Macaca fascicularis: one gene and its partner. The protein of the gene in region 1 interacts with the protein of each later gene in a pairwise test. Links are inferred from orthologs where the notes say so. Each region holds a gene or a part of one and is shown in the gene's direction. Other genes may lie near its edges. The genes, in order: CRYAB and gamma-crystallin C.

Region 1 (8,933 bases):
GCTGGATGTTCTCTTGATTGCAGAGAATAACTGAGGGGACAGACCCTCAGGCTTTTCTGAATACACCATACCCCCAGAGGACGGGAAGGTAATGGGGTTCCATGATCATTGGAGAGGCTTTGTGTCTGTGCCCCTGTGTATGCATACTCGGGCTCTCAAAATCAGTGACCATTTCAGTGGACAGACCTTAGTACATGAAAACAAAGTATTTACTCCAGGGCTTTAGGCAACTCTCATCAGCCAAAAACCATTTTCCCAGCCCCTACCCAAAACGGGCCAGACAGTCTGGAGACCCTTGTTTTTGTGTCTCTAATCACCAGCTCAGACAGTGCCCTCTGGGCTGTTTGGATGGCATATCCCTTTTCTCTCCCAGGATCACTCTCTCTTTTGTTGCACTGTGAGAAAATCACGGCTAGGAATTTGATCTGGAGCCAGCATCAGCTTCCGGGTGTGATCTCAGTATCCAAGTGCGAGCTCAGGGTCCTATGACGTTAGGCACATCAAACTGAGGAACTTTTTGTCTAGCTGGCTGTGACCGCCTCCCTCCCTCCCCATCCCAGCTTGCCGGCCACAGAATAGGGAGCAGCACAAACAAGGCCCTGAGATTTGGGTTTATTCGGCTCCACCCAAAACTAAACCAAGGCTATGACACGTCCCATGGGACCAAACCATACATTGTAGACCATGCACCTTTCCTTTCCCCCAAGGACGCTGCTACCTCTGGAGTGGTGGGCAGCTGCCCATATCACCATGGGAGGTAGAGAGGGATTTGCTGGGTGCTGGGTCTGTGGCAATCAGGGCTCAACTATGGCTGCCTCCTCCTCTTCCTCTGGATCAGGAGGCGCAGGGAGCAGGGAGATGTAGACCTCATTGACCTCTGTGTCCAAATGTCGGCCACCCCGAGGCGCTTCCAGGTTTAAGATGCCATCATGGGAGAGAGCAGCTCGGACCCGCCAGGGGTCGACATCAGCAGGCAGGACATAGGTGCGGCAGAACTCTCGGGACACGAAGCCGTGGCGGTCCAGGCGCTGGGGGTGCCGGGCAGACACCTCCAGCAGGTTATCCACAGTCCTCACAGTCACCTCGTCTGGGGTAAAGTGGCTCACATCCAGAAATGCCTGGAACTTGCCCTCACTGAGCCTAAGCTCGGAGGCCCCTGCCCTGCTGCCCTCCCCAGCTGGGGCGGCCCGAGGCCGGACATAGTAGCCATGGTAGAGTGTGGGGGTCAGGATCTCTTCTGGAAGGAGGCCTAAGGGGCAGAGAGAACGCAAGAGGCAGGATGAGGGAGGATGAGGCTGGCACAGGGGCGAAATGGGAAATCTGGAGAGGAGGGATTGGGAAGAGCAAGAGGGGAGTCAGGAGGAGTGGGGAACGGGAAGGAGGCCACACAGTAGCTAGGAGGAGAAGGCAGCTGGGAAGAGGGGAAAGAGAACGGAAAGGAAAGGGAGGAGGAGGAGGAGAAGCAGGGGGAGGAGGAGGCACCAAATGGCCTGGTTGATAGAAGGGGGACAAGGAGGCACACCCAGGCGGGCAAAGGGCAGGTAGCAGCACTGCAAGCACCAAGTGTGTCTTGAGGTCAGCAGGAATGGGAAAGAGCTCTGCTTGGAGGGGATGAGAGGGAGTCTGGGGTGGGGGGTGGCTGGTCCCAGGAGATCAGTTAAGCCCAGAGTGGGGTGGAGGCCAGTAACGTTGGGAGGTCAGCCCAGAATTTCAGGGGGTGGGGGTGGGAGGCAAGGGGGTGGCATCTGTGCCATACCTTCTCCGAAGCGCTGCTCACCCAGGCGGCTCGGGTTGGCAAATTCGTACTCAGCGGTGGCTGGGTGGGCATGTGGCACTGAGCGGCCCGACATGGCTGCAGATGCAGCGGGAGCCCTGGTCCGAGGTGCAGCCCCAACAGGCGCAGCGCGACCCCTCCAGCTGCCCGGAGAGCCAGGGCTCGATAGGAGGTGGGGGCGGGGTCGACACCACCCAAAATAGTGCCGAGCCTCTGGGGGGGAGGGGCGGGGAGTGGGGGCCCTGAGTGAGAGCAACGAGGGTGTGACCAGCGCCGCCTGGACCCCTAGTCCCCTCCCCCGCACACTCTTCAGCTGTCGCAGGGGGCCTGAGAGGACAGCTGAGGGTCCTGGTTAGGAACGAGCTGAGAAGGGGGAGCTGGTGGTGCCTGGGGCATGAAGAGGCCTCGCTGAAACCCTCACAAACGGTTTGCACGTTTCCACACCTCATTTTCTCCTCCTTGGAGGCCGGCACTGTGCACCCAATTCCTAAAGCACTCCTGGATTTAATGTTCTGAGAGCCACATAGGATGAAAGATGCAAGAAATCTTTCTGCTCTTTTTTTCAGGGAGTGGGGTCTTTCTGCCCAGATGTCGGAGTCCTCTCCTAAACCCAGGTCAACCCAGGGCAGGAGGCAGATGGCTGGTACCCGCATGTTGACCATCACTGCTCTCTTCCAAGGACTCACAAAGAGTTAATGTCCCTGGGGCCCAGCCTAGGAAGATTCCAGTCCCTGCCCAGGCCCAAGATAGTTGCTGGCCTGATTCCCCTGGCATTCAGGACTGAAGAGGAGGAGGAGGAGGGGCACACTCCACCGCCTGCCCCTCCACCCACCCGCGTGCCTGCTTGGGATTCCTGACTCTGTACCAGCTTCAGAGAACTGGGGTGGGGGTGGGTGCCACTGGGTGTGTACAGAAAGCTAGTGAAACAAGACCATGACAAGTCACTGGCCGGCTCAGACGTGTTTGTGTTTCTCTTTTCTTAGCTCAGTGAGTACTGGGTATGTGTCACACTGCCAAATCCCCGATCACAAGTCTCCATGAACCGGCGGTGAGCTAGGATAATAAAACCCCTGACATCACCATTCCAGAAGCTTCACAAGACTGCATATATAAGGGGCTGGCTGTAGCTGCAGCTGAAGGAGCTGACCAGCCAGCTGACCCCCCACACTCACCTAGCCACCATGGACATCGCCATCCACCACCCCTGGATCCGCCGCCCCTTCTTTCCTTTCCACTCCCCCAGCCGCCTCTTTGACCAGTTCTTTGGAGAGCACCTGTTGGAGTCTGATCTTTTCCCGACGTCTACTTCCCTGAGCCCCTTCTACCTTCGGCCACCCTCCTTCCTGCGGGCACCCAGCTGGTTTGACACTGGACTCTCAGAGGTGAGTCTCCCCACTGCTAGAATGGGAGAGTCCTTACTGGAACCTCCTGTAAACTTCTCCATCCATTTTCCTCTCCTTTCCTGCCTAAACCATTTTAGGCACATGTGTATCCAAATGTGAAGAAAAATGAGGAGGTTGCTAGTTCCTCCCTCCCCCGTCACCTGTTTCTACTTGATGGTCCTCTGTATCCCATTTATTACATTTTTTTCATGCACTGTCAAGTTCATCCTCCATCCCCTAACTTCTCTGCAGGGTACCCCTTTCTGGTTTGGTTCATAACAATCTGCAGGGAAAGAGCTGCCTTCAAACTCCTTTGCTCATCTCTTCTAACACCATGGACTCTTGACCAATTTTACCATCTCAGGTGTCAGAGCCAGGAGAGAGCCCTGCCTCACCCTGCCTGAGCTGTTCACCCTCATGGGCATTTTCTGCCTTTTTATTCCCTCTTCTGTGATTTTCTGGGTTTCTCAGGGCTGTGACAGGGCATTGGCCTGGGTCCAACCAAGCCTTATGAGGAAACAATATAGGGACCCCCACTCGTCCTAAGAGGGTGAGAGAACAGGGTGAACATATAAGGTTGACAGAAGCTGTCACAGATAACGCTCTGGTTTAAAAATATTCGAGTGTGAGTAAACAGGAGATGAGTGGGCAAGGGCTTTGGAAGGACAAGCAGGACCAGCAGAACATTCCAGATTGGGTGGGTGGAAAACTGGCAAAGAGACCTGAGCCAGAAGAAGAGGCCTTTGTCTCACAGACAAACCACAAAGCCAGGCATCGGAGCCAGAGAGGCAGCAGATGCCAGGCCTGCACCCATCCTTGCGACTGGTCCCCTGGGTGATCTGTCTTCTTCTCTGTCCCTGTAAATAAAGTTTGGGTCGGATCACCATGAGCCTTAGGTATCACTGTGGTGGCTCCCTGAAGCAGAGAGCCATGTTTATTTAAAAAGGGGATATTTTAAAGCAGAAAAGAGAAGGATGAATTACCTGGACAGAAAGCAACTCTGCAGAATAAGACAACACCAGTATAATGAGTACTTTCGCCATCTTTCTCCCGTCCCATTCCCTTACCTTGCTATTTCTAGATGCGCCTGGAGAAGGACAGGTTCTCTGTCAACCTGGATGTGAAGCACTTCTCCCCAGAGGAACTCAAAGTTAAGGTGTTGGGAGATGTGATTGAGGTGCATGGCAAACATGAAGAGCGCCAGGTATGTAGCTTGGTTTTTGTTTTCTGCTCATTCATTCAGTGTATACTGTAATAGTCCAGGTAGTGCTATCAGCTTTGGAGGCTGGCTACATTCCAGTCCCAAGCTATAATAGTCTAGATCAGGGGTTACAAATCAATGTCTAGAAGACTAAGTTAGGGATAGACCTATTGCTGTTGTTACTGTTGTTATGGCCAGAGATGTGGTCTTTGTTTGATTTGATCGCCTTAGATGGGATGATGGGATGTTGATGCCCCATCTTAGCCAGAGGTTCTGAATCTTGGCCACATTAGAATCACCAGGGGAACTTTCAAAAAACCTAATGCTCAGGCATACTCCAGACCAATTAAATCAGAATTTTTAGGGGTGGGACCCAGGGCATCAACATTTTTTAAGGTAATTCTAATCTACAGTCAAGGTTGAGGACCACTGATTTAGGTATAGGGCTGTCAGACACCTAGTTGCTTTGCATAATTACATTAACTACAGGTACCCTAAAGGCACTTGAGTTGTGAATTCTCTGTTAGCTGTGCAAGAATCCATGTCTCTTCTTTAGCCCATCTTAATGCTGAACTACTTGGTTTGTCTAAATTTCAGAGCTGTGCTCAGTCTTTAATCCCCTATAGCCCATGCGGAAATCAGTTAATGAGAGCCTGTTTGGCTACATGCTTGAGAGTCAGCAGGCATACGGGTTAAGGTCATCTACTCTTTGGGGGAATTCTGACGAATGGAACAGCTTTTCATGACTTTGTAAGAGGGCTTTAAAATTCCTTCTCACCAATTAACGATAGCTCAGCGATAGCTCAGAACCTGTGCGTCAACCAGTACAGTTTGTCCTTAGTAATGTCCTCAGGCTGTTTCAATTTTGCTCATATGATTTAGGTTTGGGTCATAGTCTCCTTGGATGGAGTCTTTTTTTTTTTTTTCCCCCAGCAGCAGTCCTATTGTTCTGGAACCTTCTGGGACATTCCTGAAGAGTCAGGACAATTTCAGGGCTTCCTCAGGGACTCAGATTCTAAATGAGATTCCAAATTCTGTAGGCCCAGTCAACATTATCTAAACCTTTGGGAAATACTCCTAAACATATCTATGCCTCAGGGTTTGAAAAACAATGAAGTGTTGTACTGTTTCAGACTTCTCAGATTCTCACTGGTAGGAGTGACTACCTAGGTAACTTCATCTTAGCCACAACCCTGAAACAAAGCACTGTTTATTTTTCCTATGTTGTCATGGCATTTGGTCTCACCTAAGGGGAAATCAGGATGCCTGAGTTCTGGGCAGGTGATAGTAGTTCATATTCTTATCTCTCTGCCTCTTTCCTCATTCTTTTGGGTTAGGATGAACATGGTTTCATCTCCAGGGAGTTCCACAGGAAATACCGGGTCCCAGCTGATGTGGACCCTCTCACCATTACTTCATCCCTGTCATCTGATGGGGTCCTCACTGTGAATGGACCAAGGAAACAGGTCTCTGGCCCTGAGCGCACCATTCCCATCACCCGTGAAGAGAAGCCTGCTGTCACCGCAGCCCCCAAGAAATAGATGCCCTTTCTTGAATTGCATTTTTTAAAACAAGAAAGTTTCCCCGCCAGTGAATGAAAGTCTTGTGACTAGTGCTGAAGCTTATTAATGCTAAGGGCAGGCCCAAATTATCAAGCTAATAAAATATCATTCAGCAACAGATAACTGTCTTGTGTTTGAATATTCCACACACTTTTAAATAAATGTACGGATACCACAGATCTATTTATGATTGCATTATGATTTAGAGGGCTCCAAGGATTTTAGAGTCAGAATGACTGGCTCCACCATTTACTAATGATATAAATTTAGGCAAGTTGCTTAACCTTTCTGGTCTTCAGGTTTTCCATTTATAACATGGGTTACTGAGTTGTACAGAGCTATTATAGGAAGTAAATTAAGGAGAAGAAGCAGGAAAAGCCCCTGGCAGAGTTCAAGGAATATTAGTTACTCTGTCTCTGCCCTCTTTGATTTTAGCCCTCAGTTTAAAGGACTGGAACACATCTGAATGAACTCTGGATAATGCTACATAAAAGGCCTTACTACATCTCTAAAATTAATTACATCATCAGGGAAGACATGGTGACCCTAATATTGTTTGACGTTTTCCTATTGATAAGTATTGCCTTAAGCTGATTTACAAGGGCAATAAGCAGGACTTGGCTGATTATCACCTAACAAGCTCTGAGGTATAGGCTAAATCAGTGGCCCCCAACCTTTTTGGCAGCAGGGACTGGTTTTGTGGAAGACAATTTTTCCCGTGGCCCCGGGGGAGCAGGGGATGGTTTCGGGATGATTCAAGCATTAGATTCTCATAAGGAGTACACAAGCTAGATCTCTCACGTGTGCAGTTCACAATAGGATTCATGCTTATATGAGAATGTAATGCCACCACTGATCTGACAGGAGGAGGAGCTCAGCTTCACTCACCTCCTACTGTGCAGCCTATTTCCTAATAGGCCACAGGCCAGTACCAGTCCATGGCCTAGGGGTTGGGACCCCTGGTCTAAATTATCGAGCAAACACCTACTAACCTAAGGCCAGGAAATATCCAATTCAATGACCTACCACATAATAGTTAAGTTTTAGAATTACAATTAATAACCAATCAATAAGTGGTTCCATTATTTAGCTTAAAGACATACCACTATGCAAAAAAATCCCCCCCAAAAGAAAAAACAACCCTCCATTTCATTTCTGTGGGTCTGGACAAAACTTCTGATTCACTTGATAAACAGGACTGCTGTAGGTGATCTGGTATAAATGTTTATTGACAACTTTTATTTTTTCTTCAGCAGCTTCCAGCTAATTTCTGATTTCTTGCAAAATCAGAAATCAGTCAGTTTGGGGACTGACCAGGGTTTTGAAATATTCTACATGAAACAATTGCCTAAATTTTTTTTATAACATAGAGGGGAACAACACACACTGGGGCCTCTCGGAGGATGGAAGGTGAGAGAAGGGTGAGAATCAGGAAAAATACCTAATGGATACTAGGCTTAATACCTGGGTTATGAAATAATCTTTATAACAAACCCCCATGACACACATTTACCTATGTAACAAAACAAAGGAAAAAAAAAGATCATAATGAGATACCATTGCGCCTCTATTAGAATGACTAAAATGAAAAATTGACTATACCAAGTAAAACAAAAAATATAAATAAATAAATTGGAAACTTAAAAATAAAAAAATTTAATGATGCAGGGGTATGGAGCTAGGACAACATAAATTGCAAATCTATACAGGTTCAAAAACGCTTTCTCTTAAAAAACAACTTCCTAATAGTCTGAAATACTGTGATCTAGCCAGAAGTTTACAGCTAATTTTTGTGGCTGTGCAGCAGACACTGTTGGCTGCCTAACCAACAGCTATTTACCACCTTCAGCCTTGCCAACATTACCCCAGATTGGTTTAGGTATACACCATATTCTTCCTAGCCATATGCTTCAGAGAACTGAACTCAAGCTCCAGCCAAAGGAGGTCTATCTTGACTAGTCCAAATCAAGCAGGGAAATCCTCTTCTTGATTTTCAATATTATTTTTGAAAGGCCTGTGACTCAATTATGGCAAATGAGGCAGGAGGGAAGTCTGTTGGAGATGCTTCTAGAAAAAGTTTCTAAACTAAGAAAAGGTTTCAAAAAGATTCAGAGAGAAAGAGAGAGAGATTTTTTTTTCCTTGCTCTGGATGTCGGAGCATGAGAATGTGATGCCTGGATTACTGTAGCTGTTTTGAAAACGTGGAACGTGCATCCATGATATGCTGAGCACAAAGACAATAATCTCAGGTCCTTAATGGGTCAATGAACTGCTGAATTAGCCAACTCTAGAGTTTCCCTACTTCAGGCTGTTTGATTATGTCTTGTTTTTGTTAATAATCTGTTTTGACGTGGGTTTTCTGTTACTCCTAGGCAAAAACATCTGACATTATCAAGGCTGAATTAGATAGTGTAACATAACTGAATGCCTGGAAGCCATGTGTCAATTTTAATCATTTTAGTGAATTATCAGTATATTTCCCAAGCAAAGATGGACTTGGTTTTAAATAAATCACAACTTTGACTATTATATAATGATATTTGTTTCAAAAATGTGCAGGGTCACATTTTTTTGTTTGTTGTTACCATAAGTGCCTAAGTTAAACTGGTTCTTTATTGTTATTCTTTTCTAGATCATACCCTTTGCTGTGGCTATTCACAGCTACGATATTAGTATAGGACTAGTACAGTATGTTCTAGTACAGTATGTTTGAGAGTTTTTTGTTTTTTGTTTTTTGCTTTATAGCTAACTCATCCATGATTCTACTTCATTCCCTATATCTGAATTTATAGAAGTTTACTGAGACAATTCTAATTAGCATTTGTTTTGTCTTTTAATATTAGCTAATATTTATTGAGCACTATATTAGTCCATTCTCACATTGCTATAAAGAACTAGCTGAGACTGGGTAATTTATAAAGAAAAGAGGTTTAATCATTTCACAGTTCCACAGAAAGCATGGCTGGGGGGCCTCAGGAAACTTACAATCATGGTAGGAAGGCAAAGGGGAAGCA
Region 2 (8,933 bases), on another chromosome or scaffold:
CACTCCAGCCTGGGTGACAAGAGCAAGACTTCATTTAAAAAAAAAAAAGCCCCATTAAATTGATCAAGTACAGGGTGCTTATGTCATCCTACACACTGAAAGTTGCACATCCTGAACTTTGATGTAAGTGTGTTATGCCTATGTATGTTGAGCATTTGAAATAAGCTCCATAGACCATGATAACAATAATTTCAGACAAGGGATGACTTTCACACATCCCCCCTCCCAGGCATTTATTGAGTATCCTGTATGTGCCAGTCCTCTATGCCAATTAGTGAGAACACAAAAATAAAGATGGAATAGTCCCTGCCTTTATGGGGCTCTCCCATCTGTTTTGAGGGACTGATGTCTAAACAAAATAATTAGATAAGTGATAGTTACCATTATAGTGGTATGAACATGAGGTGCTATGGAGGCAGTATTTAATTCAGCCCAGAAGATGAGGAAGGGTTCAGGAAAATCTTTTACAGAGAAACTGATGCTTGAGCTGAGACTTGAAGAAAGGGCAAAATTTCTCTGGTTGAAAAATAAACTGGTGTCTCATTGAGAAGGATCAATATTTTGAAAAACAAGAACAACATGAAATAATGTTGTGCATTTGGGAAATGACAAGTGGTTTGGTGTGATCAAACAGAAAGCATGGGGACAGACAGAGGAGGCCAGGTCTAGGATGCCATGCTAAGGGATCAATATTGGATCCTGGAGACAATGGGAGGCTGTGAAATATTTCAAGCAAATGAACAGCATGACTTGATGTGTTTTGATTCTCATCACTCCAGCATCTGGCCGAGTGCAGTTTGGAGGAAGATAAGACTGGGCAGTCAGGAGGCTGTTGAAAGTCCAGCTGAGATACGATAAGACCCTATGTAAGGCAGCTACAATGGCAGGGGTTTTGGGGTGGGGGGTAGTTGGGGCAGAGGAGAGAAGGAGAAAGATTTGAAAAAAGGTTGGAGAAATACAAGACTATGCCATTCTGGAACAAGAGAAACGTTCTGGGATATGCATTTTCTGGCCCCTTTATTGCTTTTCCTGTCTTCTTACCAGTGCTCTAATTTAAGTGCTGGTATCTCTGCTCTGATTCTCTCACTGTGTACATATGAAACTTTATAGAACAAGAAAGAGTGCTACAAAGCAGAGAGCACATCTGCCTTTAGGTCTAAAGAGAATGTTAGGCAGGGCACAGTGACTCATGCCTGTAATCCCAGCACTTTGGGAGGCCGAGGCAAACAGATTGCTTGAGGAGATCAAGACCAGACTGGGCAACATAGTGAGACCCTGTCTCTACATAAAGAAAATACAAAAAATTAGCTGGGTGTGGTGGCATGCACCTATAGTCCCAGCTACTCAAGAGGCTGAAGTGGGAGCTTGAGCTTAAGTGTGGGAGGCAGAGACTGCAGTGAGCTAAGATTGCATCATTGCACTCTAGCCTGGGCAACAGAGCAGAACTCTGTCTCAAAAAATAAATAAATAGAATAAAGAGAATGTTAGTACAATTCCTAATAAGGCATTGCCTGGGGATGGCTAAAATACATGATTTCCTTGTCAAAATATAAAGGGATAAACCACAGCAGTGTTTTGGCCCAAGAACTATTTGGTGCTTATTAAAAATATAGGTTCTGGGCTGGGCACGGTGGCGCATGCCTGTAATCCCAGCACTTTGGGAGACCGAGCTGGGTGGATCACCTGAGGTCAGGAATTTGAGACCATCCTGGCCAACATAGCGAAACCCTGTCTCTACTAAAAATACAAAAATTAGCTGCATGTGGTGACGCACGCCTATAATCTCAGCTACTCAGGAAGTTGAAGCAGGAGAATCACTTGAACCCAGGAAGCGGAGGCTGCAGTGAGCTGAGATCGCACCACTGCACTCCAGCCTGGGTAAGAGAGTGAGACTCCGTCTCAAAACATAAAATAAATTAAATAAAATAAAAAATAAAAATATAGGTTCTGAGGTCTTCTCCTGATCTAATGATGCAGGATTTGGCCAAAAGGTCAAGATGGTAATTTGCGGTTTTGACATGCCAGGTGATTCTTAGGCACACTCGAGTTTGAAAACCGCCTGATGGTTTCTGAAGTCCCTTCCAAGCCTAATTTTTCTTTAATCACAAAATGGCTTTACAGAGGATAAATTTTTTTCAGGAATCTTTGAAAGGATTAAATACCTTTGAGAGAGATAAACAGGATAAAGTCAGCCTTAACGATGTCACTCTATTACTAATAACAACATATATTCAGTGTTCATTTGTGCCAAGTATGTGCCAAATGCTTTATACACATAATCCCACTTATTCATGTCAATATCCTTTAGCTAAAGGCCACCAGGGACACACCTGTCTTTAAACAAGTTGAGCTTATTACTTGTTGCAGCAAGGGAGTAAGTTCTCCTTGGGGAAGCATGGAGTGTCTCAGTAGAGAGCTTATAAAGAAATTGTTAATAGGATTTGCACTTCAGTTGTGTGATTTGGGGGAGGATCTTAAAAATCTGAAGTTCACTCTAGATTAGATGTTAGCAGAAAGCAGGGTTAATTTTGTGATTAGTTATCTCAAGAAATCTTACCCGTAGGGAGGGGAGACTAGAACACAGATAAACCTGTAATCCATAAAGAAGTAGCAGTTAATCATTTTGGCTGAGAGAGTGAGGGCTTGGGATTTTGAGAGTGGAGCATTGACTTTGTTTTTGTCTGCGCTTAGGCAAAGTTAAGAAGTGGCTTTATTGTATCTCATTTCATCATGGTCTCAGAGTAGCCTTGTCTGAAGTTGTTATTCTGTGAGACTGTTTATGTCTAGCAGGGGAGTAACATGTCCTCACTGTGAGTGCCAGGCCAGCATCTGAATGTCAGAGGCTGCCCTCTTGTCTCACTTTATTTCTTATTAATCAGACTATAGTCCATGAGATAACTCATGCTCTGAGTGGTTATGTAATTTGCCATGGAGCTAATCATTGGGCCTTCTGAGTGCAGGTGGCCTGAGTCCAAAGCTCACGCTCTTGCCTGTGAAGCTTTACGGCCTCCCTCACGCTTGAAAAAGGGAAAGCAATCTATAAAGTAGGATACAGTACTTCTCAGTCTCAGGCCCAGTGACCACAGAAACCTTTCCCTTGCTTGTTATCATAAGTTCACCACCAGGGACTGATTTCTAGTTAGATGACGTGCCCACGAAAGGCAAGGTTAAGAGCTGTCTTAAAGCATTGGGTTAACGAAGTCAAAACTAGCCAAGACATGAATCTAGATTTGTGTCCTGCCCTGGACTGGAAAACTGCGTAAAGACAAAAATTTAAGGTACAGCAGTCTCTACCATCCAGGGAAATGAGTCAGTGTTTGTGGCATTCTACATCAACAACCTCTCTGGAATCCTGGAGCGATTCTATAATGGCATAGATCTTTCCCAGAAAATTCACAGGAAATTACTCAATCATATAGAGAGAGCCATGAATTTCGGGTCAAAAGTTCAGACTGATGCACAGATAAATTTAGAAAACAGTAACAATCCAAATAAAAGCAACACAGAGCAGTATGTGCAGGACAGCGTTAGAATATACCAGAGAACAACGACACAATCTACAATCATTTCCAGTGAATGCAGCATGTTAAAGAGATGCGTAAAATCCCCTTACCGCCGAGGGCCCCTATTGTGTTGTTCTTGCCAACGCAGCAGCCATCCTGCTATATAGACTGGCTGTGCGGCCGCAGGCCCCATCACACTGAACTCGCATCATCCGTGTCAACCAGCCATGGGGAAGGTAAGCAGAACACAAAAAATAAAATGAAAAAAAAAATTGCCGTTATATAATGCCTGTTAAGAGCAAATAATGCAATTTGGAACGATTCTTCCTTTGCAGATCACCCTCTATGAGGACAAGGCCTTCCAGGGCCGCAGCTACGAATCCACCACTGACTGCCCCAACCTGCAGACGTATTTAAGCCGCTGCAACTCCATCCGGGTGGAAAGTGGCTGCTGGATGCTCTATGAGCGTCCCAACTACCAAGGTCAACAATACTTGCTGCGGAGAGGGGAGTACCCTGACTACCAGCAATGGATGGGCCTCAGCGACTCCATCCGCTCCTGTTGTCTCATCCCCCAGGTGAGTTTTCTAGATTTCCATCATGCCGCCGGAGTGTCCCCACTGTATGGTCAATGTGGGTTAGAGGGAGGGAGGTTTGCATTTAAAAACTCCTAAGGGTTAGATGGACATCAGAGACCTGCATAAGCCAGATAGATAACATGGACAAAAACAGCAGAGAAATGTAAGGAAGAACCCACTTAGAGGGAGAATCCGTTTTACTTTAAATTTTTGCTACCAATAAGTCAATTAAAAGTGGTCTGTAACAAATGTAATATCAAATGGGATATAAAACAAAACTTGCAAATGGGAAGCTGGTTGGGCATACAAAGACGGTATTTTTAACAAATTGTTTTGCCTATAGAAAAAGAATTTCTGATGAATTAATTAGATAGGTTCCACTGTGGACAAGTAAACCTTCAAAGCTGTATTGTTAATATAGGCTATTCAAAGGTTGTGTCCAACTTTGGAAAAGGTAATTTTTCTTAATTTGGAAAATCAGTTAAATTCTCATTCCAAATGACTATTTAAATTAACTTTACACTGAAGTACAAGATTTTTTAAATCTTACTTTAGTGGTAAATTTATATGTTTATAAATTTGCGAGATAATACTCTTACTAAAAGAATACTAGTCAAAATAAACTATTTCTATTTTTTCCCCGAAATGTAGTTTGAATTAACACAGGTAATTAGGAATCAAGATATCTGAGTTCTTGATGGATTCTAACTCAGCGTTTGAACCTCTTAAAAATTCCATCTCCTACATAAGAATGAATTTCAGGTCAAAAAGAAAATGAGCATAGCAGTATTTAGGTGCTAGTGGAAGACAGATCCATGCGCAGCATCCACAGTAATCTACATTTTACACTGTCTAAATTTGACATTGACAATTCCATGCCCCACCCTACCAAGTTCATCTGTTCTTTGGTTGGACAAATTCCGGAAGAGACTCATTTGCTTTTCTCTATCCTTCTTTCTGCGGACCGAGTAGACAGGCTCCCACAGGCTGCGGCTGTACGAGAGAGAAGACCACAAAGGCCTCATGATGGAGCTAAGTGAGGACTGCCCCAGCATCCAGGACCGCTTCCACCTCAGCGAGATCCGTTCCCTCCACGTGCTGGAGGGCTGCTGGGTCCTCTACGAGCTGCCCAACTACCGGGGGCGCCAATACCTGCTGAGGCCCCAAGAGTACAGGCGGTGCCAGGACTGGGGGGCCATGGATGCTAAGGCTGGCTCTTTGCGGAGAGTGGTGGATTTATACTGAAATAGCTTAACACTACCAATTTCCCATTTTGGAACCTAATAAAGATTTAGTCTGCATTATTGGCAATTGCTGACTTCTGTCGTTCTTTCATTGTGCAAATCAGTTCACCTTTAAATTTCCTTGTCAAAAGTTAAGTGAATGGGGCAAGAGACGGGGCCTGTTGGAGAAGAGCTTCAAGGTAGAGTGAGTTTGAACAAGCCTCGGATGTTAGGGTGGAGGCAGGGTGTAGCCTGCCTGAGAAAGAAAAGGCAGGGCAATGCCAGAGACCTGGGAGAGGCTGACTGGCGAGAAGGGAGGCATTCAACTAAGTACCTTGAGGAACAATAGTTCGGAATTTTCCTTCTAACCAAAAATGTGGGTCAGACAAAAGGTAAAGTCAGATGAGTGGTGAGGGCACACTTAACTTGGCCAACAGCCTGATTAGACTATACAAAGGATTGTACTTTTGTTTACTTTCAGGCACAGTATTGTATTAGTAATGCCAGAGCCACCACGGCCACTGCCGTACCTTTGAACAAAGTTAAAGACCATTCATCTCCTTTTGAAAATGACTCCTGTCCGGGACTGTAGCTCTTTGTCAGTACTACCCCTGGCCCAAATGCTGTGTTAATTACAGAAACTGCACATCAGTTTCATGGTGACCAGCTATTGCAAATAAATTAATAAGAGATACACATCAATCTTTTAAATAGATTTGCATGGTATAGTGTACCCCAAACATAAAAAGTAACTACAAAAAACATCGTTCTGCCATAAGGACACATGTGTATATGTTCATCACAGCACTATTCACGACAACAAAGACGTGGAGTCAACCTAAATGTCCATCAATGGTAGGCTGGGTTTTACAAAGTGGTACATACACACAATGGAATACTATGCAGCCATAAAAAAAGAATGAGACCCTGTCCTTTGCAGCAACATAGGTGGAGCTGGAGGCCAATATCCTAAGCAAACTAACACAGGAACAGAAAACAAAATACCTCCAGGTTGGAGAGGATCGAAAAACTACCTGTCAGGTACTATACTTATCACCTGGGTGATAAAATAATCTGTACACCAAACCCCCACAACACACAATTTGCCTGTATTACAAACCTGGATATGTGCCCCTGAATCTAAAATAAAAGTTAAAATAAATAAATAAGTCCTGTAACTACAAAACGGGCCCAAATTTAAAGGTGCATTAAAGAAAGCCATAATTTCTGGAGCCTTTGATTAAACTAAAATCTGCTTGCTCATAAGCAAAGCCCTAAAAAGTTTTTTTTAAAAAAAAAGAAAGAAAAGAAAGCAATTGCAAGTCTTTTCATCAGTAGAGAATTAATTTATTTTAACTTAAAAATTTCCCTTCAAAGTAAAAGTCCTCCCATAATCTTACTACTGTACAAATTCTATAAAGAAGTAGAAGGGAGTCCTTTTGATGCCCCTCATTGCTAACTCCTGTTTATAGTTGGTGAGCACCCTTCTGGGATTTTCGCCTTGTTTATATAGCTGTCTCATAAAACACATGCTTCTTTTCTTTACAAAAATGGAATCATGCTATATATATTAGTCTGCAACTTGCTTTTAAAATGTATTATAATATGGACATATATCTAGGTCAGTATCTTATTCTGTTTCATGGTTGAATTGCATCTTGTTGTTTGGAAGTCCCTTAGACCATTTCACCATTTGTCCACTTAAGTGACTGGGCTTTCCCAATGTTGCTTTGACCAACAATGCTGCAAAGAATGACATTGTACATATACGCTAAAGAATGACATTGTACATATACGCTAACCCTGACGTGCCATAATTTTAAAAAGATAGTGACCTAGAAGTGAGACTACCGGCTCATACTGCAAGTTTATTTTATTTATTTATTTATTGAGACATGGTCACACTCTGTTGTCCAGGATAGAGTGCAGTGGCACAAACACAGCTCACTGCAGCTTCGACCTCCCAGGATCAAGCAATGATCCTTCCATCTCAGCTTCCTAAGTAGCTGAGGCTACAGGAGTGCACCACCATGCCCAGCTAATTTTTTCATTTTTTATAGAAAGGGGGTCTCACTACGTTGCCAGGGCTGGTCTCGAACTCCTGGGCTCAAGTGATCCTCCCACATTGGCCTCCAAAAGTGCTGGGATTACAGGTGTGAGCCACCACACCCAGCCACAAGTTTATTTTCCATTTCAATATCCTCCATTTATTAGCCACTAGATACTCAACTTCTCTGAGTTAGGATCCTTACCAATTTTTGAGCACCTACCATGAGCCTGCTATATGTAGCAATGGGGATGAAGAAAACAATCAAAACAAAACAAAAGAAAAAGGTATTTCACTACCACTGCAGAGCTCTACATAGAAAGAATACAAAAAAAAAAAAAAAAAAAAAGCAGCAGCAGCCAGAAAATAAGAATTAAAATAATTTGTATTGCACATAGTTGGTGGTTAATTCATAAATACCACTTACAAAGATTTATGACTCAAAGACAAGACAAAGTACTTCCATGGGTTGACACAGGGCTGTGAGCAATTCTTTGAACATGAAAGAAGCTGGACACAGGTCATTTTCCACTCCAGTGCTCTTTCCAGTCCATCAAACTGTTCTCTTCCAGGCCAATAAATACTTTCTAAAGTCTTCCTCGAGTCCAGCTTCTAGACATTTATTCCTTCCTCTCCCTGCATCATTCCAGCCATAGCTCCCCTTCGTGTTCATGCAATTAATTTCCTCTGAGTCAAAGGCCTTGTGTACTCTCGCTCGTTCAGAGAACAAAGATGTATTCTAGATCCCACTAGAAATAAGTTTCTTAGGAATTTGGTTTTATTTAATAATAAGCTAAGAGATCATGTTTTTCTGTTTCGCACATATTACTTTTCTAATTTCCTCAAACGTAGATATTTCCCTTTTTAGTTCTTTCTGAGATTAAGCCTCTTAGAACTAACTATTCTCTCTTTTGAATCACGGCACCACCATTAGCTAAGAGAAAAACATCTAATTCTCAGCTCCTTCCAGGCATAACTGTAACAAGATCAGACCCAATATCGAAGATTCATGTTTGCTGTGTGTTTTACCATAATAAAGGTTCAAAATTCTGTGAACTCTCTTGATAAAATATTCCAATTTCTTACACCCTTTCATGACGACGTTCTCTTAAAGGACTAAACTTGAAATTTTCAACATTCAGTTAAGCCCATTTCCTTCCTATTAACAATCAGTATTCAGCATTGTGGCACGTAAGTAATACTGTAGTTCTGACAGATTAATTTATATTTGCCTTATTAAGAGTCTTTGCTTTTTCTGCTCCCCGACTTAAACTTTTTTTGTTTTTCCCCAACCTATACAAACAAAAGCGTGAACTATATGTGAAATAGCTGAAGCTCCACTTCTATTATAAATAGACAATGTCCCAAATTACCTTTTTACAAACATTCTCAATAGCATCAGCCAATGATAGTAATCCGAACACTCCAGAGAGAATGGGACCAAAATCCACAATGAGCCCCGCGGACTAGGACAGCAAAGAATAAAAAGAGAACACGAAAATGCCCTTGCTCCCCTCCGCGGGCCCCTTTTGTGCGGTTCTTGCCAACGCAGCAGCCCTCCCGCTACATAGCCCCGCCGCGC

What was found.
Region 2: the proteins of CRYAB (region 1) and gamma-crystallin C interact in binary tests that used the Homo sapiens proteins (3 or more experiments, as listed by UniProt). The link is inferred for Macaca fascicularis from reciprocal best matches to the Homo sapiens genes CRYAB and CRYGC.

Annotation. Positions count from the first base shown.
Region 1 is NC_088388.1:110,833,341-110,842,273, reverse strand, and holds CRYAB (alpha-crystallin B chain), read left to right. Parts: upstream 1-2,909; 5' UTR 2,910-2,955; coding exon 2,956-3,156; intron 3,157-3,946; exon of another isoform or gene 3,947-4,015; intron 4,016-4,237; coding exon 4,238-4,360; intron 4,361-5,694; coding exon 5,695-5,898; 3' UTR 5,899-6,037; downstream 6,038-8,933. Other genes in the region: HSPB2 (heat shock protein beta-2), read right to left, coding at 795-1,249, 1,757-1,850. UniProt on the Homo sapiens protein: May contribute to the transparency and refractive index of the lens. Has chaperone-like activity, preventing aggregation of various proteins under a wide range of stress conditions.
Region 2 is NC_088386.1:104,090,636-104,099,568, reverse strand, and holds gamma-crystallin C, read left to right. Parts: upstream 1-3,486; 5' UTR 3,487-3,730; coding exon of another isoform or gene 3,731-3,739; 5' UTR 3,740-3,808; coding exon 3,809-4,081; intron 4,082-5,053; coding exon 5,054-5,326; 3' UTR 5,327-5,392; downstream 5,393-8,933. UniProt on the Homo sapiens protein: Crystallins are the dominant structural components of the vertebrate eye lens.